2 linked regions of the Drosophila melanogaster genome follow. The protein of the gene in region 2 interacts with the protein of the main gene of each other region in a pairwise test. Each region holds a gene or a part of one and is shown on either strand. Other genes may lie near its edges.

Region 1 (3,310 bases), about 11 Mb from region 2:
AAAGGAGGCCTTTTTTTTATCATAAAACTTAAAATAATTGTCCAAATATGGAATGCCATACCTCGTTGAGCTTGTATTTTATCCCCAAATCGATTGGCATTCAAACTTGGCAATTTTAATTTTTTGCCAATTTTTGCAAAATTTGATGATGGTATAAAAAATGCAAAAACTGACCCAAAAATAAAATTTTTTTTATTGACCAAAAAGTAATAGCAATTGTTGCTATTGGTAATTAGGTGCAGAAAACAGTTATTCCTGTACTTATCTGACTATTTTTAGGCGAGTTGTGAAGAAAATACCACTCTTAAATATTGCGTTTTTGCCAAAAGAGACCTTTTTGATTTTTCGCCCAAATATATTCAGTTTTTTCATCATAAATCTTAAAACAATTGTCCAAATATGGAATGCCATACCTCGTTTAGCTTGTATTTTATCCCCAAATCAATTGGCATTCCAATTTGGAAATTTTAATTTTTTGCCAATTTTTGCAAATTTTGATGATGGTACCCCTTATAAAAAATGCAAAACTGACCCAAAAATAAAATTTTTTTTATTGACCAAAAAGTAATTGCACTGGTTAACATTGGTAATTAGGTGCAGAAAACAATTATTCTTGTTGCCTTTCTGACAGTTTTAAACCAAGTTATTCATACATTTTATTCATTCCACAATTTTCAAATTCTACATTATTTTTCCCTTTATTGGACATTTATTCAATTGGGAACTCCATGTTGAACTCCCGCTTGAGGATGAACTTCAGGTCCAGCACGCTAACGTCGCTCTTTCGATACTTGGCCAACTTAACTATGCGCATGGATATGTCGTTAACAAAGGCATCGGCTATTCTGGCCATCATATCGCAACCTTGATCGTCCAGCGATGAATTTGCATCGATTTTCTGCACAAATTGCAGCATGTTGGTCTTGGAGATAATCTGATAGGGGGAAAAGTACGGATCGATTAATGCGTCCTAATTGGGGAAGTCGTTACGTACATCGTAGCTTCCGCCAGGGACAGACTGGCTCTCAATTACGCTAGCTGGCTCCTTCTCCACGGAGCTGGTGTCTATGCTGGTGTCACTGGAGCGGCTCGAGGATCTGGTCGAAGAGTGGCTCTCGTTATCCGACGATTTATCGCTGTCATCGAAATTGAGGGCAAAGGACCAAGGTTCCATGTTACTATCCATGATTCAATTAATTTAATGTCCTTTCCCGTTAATGCCACATGCACTAGGTAAGAAAGTGGCTTGAACTGGTTGGAAATTATAGGAACATAAGGTGTGAGCTAATGCATACTTTTCGGGTCCTGTGTCTTTCTTCAAAAAGCAAAAAGTTTTTTCTTGGTGTCGTGGGACATTACACTTTCTCTCAATTTTTTACCCGGCAATAGTTTGGATCGGGAAAACCCAGCTGGGCTTTGCAGCCTCAACTCTTCGCCCTTGGCCTGCCATAAATAACCAGTTTAAGTCGCAAGCTCTGCAGCTGAAAACGATTTCCATTGTTGCCGCAGCGTTTACCCTTTCCGCTGCGGCTTTTCCTTCACGGTTTTTCCGCCGTCTTCTGCTTTTGATTTATGTTCCGACTGGGCTGTGCGCTTTTCACTTCTCATGCGCCAGCGCCGTCTAAATAAATATCAAAAAGCAACAAATTGTGGCCGTGCCGTAAACGACCTTTGCCCCGGAATAAGAAGCCAGGCCAGGCGACAAGCGCGTCGTCATGGCTTAATTTTATGCCAGGTGAGTACTGGCAAGGCCAGTCAAAACAACAGCACACACGTGCCCAGGTGTCCTGCCAGCCTATTATGCCGTTTGTTCTTTTTGCAAACCCTTAATGCACAGTGGGAATTTCGCTTCAGCGAAGCACCGCGCAAATTTAAGGCCACCTTGGGAGCTTCGGGTTTCAGAATTCAGGCTGCAACTTAAGCCAACTCGGAAAACTGATTTAAACGTGCGGCTATAATTTATATGCCTAGTGAGGGGCTTAAACGTAAATAATCTTAATTTAAACACCATTGAAAAAGGAAGCTCTTCTTAATATTCACATCTACTTCTAATGGAAAAAACATGATCTTGTATATTGTAATTAATAATAACTAATATTCAAATTTAAGATGCTTAAACCGGTGCCACAGTGCCCGTTTTTGTCATTCTAAAATGGTGTGCCATGTGCCTTTGCTGCGCTCCTGCCACTTTGGAGGTGCTCCTCAGTGTCCTCGGCTTAATAAAGTCGCCTACTTAAAGCGAGCGACAATGACATTGTGCGTATGTTGCCAGTCGTCGTCGGTGGAAAGGGATTGGTATGATGGGGTGGCCAGGTCGCCCCTTCGGCCATGTGTCACACATCCGCATCCGGTGTTTGGCATTGGCATTAGGCTTCCTCTTTCTACCTCCCACCGCCGACTGTCGTTTGTCGTTTCCGGCATGCGACTCTTTTATATTGCCGCTTCTATTTGCTGTGTGCACTTTTCTGCCCCTGTCCGCTCATTTCTGCCTTCTCTGGCTGATTTCTGTTTCATATTTTGCTCGCTGGCCTTATGCATAGTGTAAGGCAGCAAAAAACGGCCGACGTTTAGCTTTAAGTGTGCTGAGTGCCATAAATTTCACTTTGTCAGGGTCTTTAATCGCCCAAGCCCCAATCAGGCAGTCATTGTGGGGACTTGAAGAGGACTTGGCTGGTTCGGAAAGGTTAATTGTCATCTAAGTCTTATGGCGAATATATATATTTTACACATTTTCTTTATTCTAAATTTAATCAACATGCTTGTTCCCTTCCTTTAATAAAACCACGACTCAAAAAGAAGTTGTTTCAGCCTTCATGTTGCGTTCTAATGGCACATATCATATCCGTAACGAGAATGCCAGTCAGTGCCTGTATATGAAGTGCTAATTTGCTGTCGTGCTCACATAAAAAATGACAGCCTTAGTTGCCAAAATGTTTGAATTAATCACACATTTGTCAAAATTATTCAAATGTCTTTGCGGCGCGAGAGAAAGTGAATGAGTGTGTGTGTGGGCATGAATAGTTAATACGCATGTGGGGGCTACGCCCGGTTCCGCCCCCTCAGTTTTAGCCGCAGAATGGTGTCTGTGTAATAAGGCTAATGAGTTTCTGCCATGTCTGGCAGAGTGTCGAGACTGAGGGGCTAATTCTCAGCCAGTCAGCATGTTCTATGCACTCGCAGTTACTGGCTGGCTGCCATTTGGAATGGTTTTATTTCACATGATTATGACATTCTGTTGTTCAGGATTTCCCACACACAAATGAAACAGCCACGCATTCTTAGGCCCCGTTTTATTAACGGAGGATGTACT
Region 2 (3,375 bases):
TTACGTGAGTAAGCAGACTTGGGGAACGGCTTCAATTGAAGTTCAATGAAATGTGTCGCCGCGTGCGCTTTGATTTTATTGCCAGCACTTAACATAATGAGCCGCCCCGATAAAATCACGTTTCCTATCGCGCGGCGCATGCGCAATGTGCTCGATACTCGATTCCAGTGCGCATATGCTTCCTGTCTCGCCGGATATTCCTTTGAGTGCCCCGCTCCATTGTCATCCGTCTGTGGCAGTGCAGCACAAAAGTTCAAAGTGCACGGAGCAAGGGATCCATTGAATGCCAAGTGCAGCCGAACAAAGGATACGGATAAACACCACCTGTTTCCTTGGGCTTTCATTTGGGTTTCCATTTGGGGATTTACGCGAGAAGGAAGTTCATCGAACTGCGATTGCTGCAATTGAAATCGTAACGCGCATGCAGGGAGGCAAACAAAATTATACAGGAATTGGTTGCCTAAAAACACATGCCTTTGAATATCATACGTATAGTAAAAATGTTAAGAAAATATTCTAGAAATGCATTTGCACATGTGAATTAGATTTATTTCATAGCATTTTTTAAAAGTTTTCTGATACACTAATTTTAAATAGTTATTCATTTGAATGCATTCTCATTTTAATGTGCTGAATAAAAACGGATATTCTGTATTGGAAAATCCTTATAATTACATAATTATGACTTGTATTTTAAATATGCTTCGAAGAGCATGTTGGACCGGGCGTATCGTCTGTCCTCCTCCATAAACTGCAGTACATCCCTGATGTTCATATGCTTAAATCGCGGAGCACATGCTCGCTGGATCGGAGCACCGGTCAATTTGGCGACTTTCGAACCACTTGGAGCAGATTCTGGGGCTAGTTGTTCTCCCGGGCGCTTTCGACCGGAGATGGCTAGCAAGGCCGTATCATTCACCGATTCCAGACGAGCCACCTTTCTCTCCTCGTCGATGTTCTCTGCCCGGCGCTTGCGATAAAAGCCGGTCTCGTCATCCGATGATCCATAGTCGGCAATCTCGAGATCGTTGAGGAACATCATCGTGACCCTCATATCGTTCTTCATCACACAACGTTCGTCGTTGTGCAGATGATAGCTTGTTCGATGCTCGCACAATTCGATAGTCTTCTTGACCACATGTTTCATGTAGGTCTCCAAGGCGGCCAAAAAAGAATCCAGGAGCCATTCTTGCTCGGAAATGTTGATATCATCCGCCTGGTTGCCCTGGGACAAGTGCTTCATTATCTTTTTGTAGATACTGCTGCGGTCAAAGAAGGATGCACGTTGATTTTTCTTTATGGAGACTTTTGCCTTGCTTGCATCCTGAGAGCCTGAGTCCGGCAGAATCAGATCATTGATGATGAGCAGCTGACCAGCATACGGCTGAATAGGAACTTCAAGGGAAATAATTGACATCACGAATATAATTCACAAACTGCGCGAGGCTTCACTTTTTTGCTGTGAAAATTTCGATATGTCAAACTGAATAAGCTTTACAGCTGCTGTTGTCAAAAACGGTAACATTTTAGGGTTACTGCCTTTCAGCTAAGTACATTATAATTGAAAAAAAAAAAAACTGTTAGAGACTTTGAAATAAGTAGTAGCCCTGTTATATTATATTTATAATTATCAAACTTTTGAGTAAGGTGCTATTTAGATTCTCGACTGCAATATGCATCAGCTGGACATTCAAATTCCTATACAGCCCTTAACCAACGCCACCCAGCCAGGTGCTAGTGGTGGTGCTGCCACGAGTCATCAGCAACACCTCCATGGAAACATATGCCGGTCTACCCCGCTTGAGTGCACCCACCCCTCGTGGACTGTTGACCGCAACATTTTCCTGCACTGAAATAATTTACATTAACTCGCTTTATAAATAAAAAAAGAAATTACATTTCAATGTTATAGTATAACAGTGCCAGGTAACTCCATTTTTAGGGTTTCCATCGTAGGCTGTTAATTGCACATGGATAGCTTTACATAAACCCTGAGGAAAACATTATAACCTCCTATAAATGAATGGAATAATCTGCATTAGGAATACTCCATCTAGTGACTTTCATATTCGTAACTCAATTAGTATTTTTCTGAGTGCCCTCTATGGCCCACTAACTCGATCCTAGCTAAGCACTTGTTCCTGTTCAATGCCCAGCAACAGGAGCGGAATGAGTTGGAGGAAAACGTGGCATGGGCAGGCGCAGGACACGATATGCAAAGTGCACAGGAATGCAAGTGGGCCTTCTCGGGCGACTGGCGACGTTCGACGGGCACGAGCGCCTAATTATTCAAATGGAGGCGGTCTGATGGCCTCGGTGCCTCCGTCGTAGACGCAAAGCCTCGAGTCCGTCGCCAGGTTCGGGGTGAGCGGATATTAGTTAAGACAGCGGCGCGCGACAGTCGCCCGCTTACCAACTCCTGTCGCCGTGTCCCGCACATTTCCGTGCACCACTGAACTTCTGGCCCGAAAGATCATCGTAGCCACACACACATACACACACACACACACAGGGGAGTGTTGGGCCGCATTTTTAATTGCCACGTTACCTGACATTTCCAGGAGCAAGACGCGTGTTGTTTTGACGTCGTTCGGCCCGGCTAGAAATTTATTAGAAATGCACGGCGATGTGTCTCTTTGTCGGCTAACTCAACTTGGCTTAACTTCCGAACAGGTTCATTACGCGTGCCGGCGACACTCGGCGCAGCGTTGACCTAATTACCTGTTTAGGTTTTTTAGTTTGTAAATTTCCAGCCCTCCCTAGTTCTACTTATAGGGGTAGGCTATATACTCCTGCGGGTGGGTCAATGGTGTCATTAGAGTTTAACTTAAGTGCAAGGTGCAATATCCTGGTCGGAAGGTATCCTATATTTTGCATAGAGAAAGAACTCTACCACCTTCATTTATTTATATTTGGAATATATGTTTTATTGTGGACTTTACTTTGAAATCGAGTGCAGTAAAATGTGGTTATAGAATGCAAGGTAATATCTTTCAATTTTCAGCCTATATTGCCTAGTCTCTCCCTCTTCATAGCCTGGTTATATGCCAATTCCATGCGCCTTGCATCATCATCATCATATGTACACACATGGCCGGGAAAACGTCCGAATGCCAGCCGCATAAACTAAGCTAACAATTCAACTAAAATGCCAACCAGATAATAAAACTCAAATCGATTGAAGAAGTGGAAGCATTGGCCTTTCCGAAAGATGGAAGATGGAAATAAAAAATGCGAACACGACGCTGGGAGACGGGAGAAAGACTTGCAGCCGGGCAGGGCATTCAAACGACCACCCACACATTTGGGATACGGAGTTGGAGTTCGCCATTTGGAGGTGGAGCTTGGAGTCGGATGCAGAGCATCCTCGCCGCC

The links.
Region 1: the proteins of nht (region 2) and Taf12L interact in a two-hybrid assay, tested with the Drosophila melanogaster proteins (one study listed by BioGRID).

Annotation. Positions count from the first base shown.
Region 1 is NT_033779.5:4,700,283-4,703,592, forward strand, and holds Taf12L (TBP-associated factor 30kD subunit alpha-2), read right to left. Parts: upstream 1,204-3,310; 5' UTR 1,187-1,203; coding exon 995-1,186; intron 935-994; coding exon 710-934; 3' UTR 553-709; downstream 1-552.
Region 2 is NT_033779.5:15,317,430-15,320,804, forward strand, and holds nht (no hitter), read right to left. Parts: upstream 1,473-3,375; 5' UTR 1,418-1,472; coding exon 680-1,417; 3' UTR 525-679; downstream 1-524.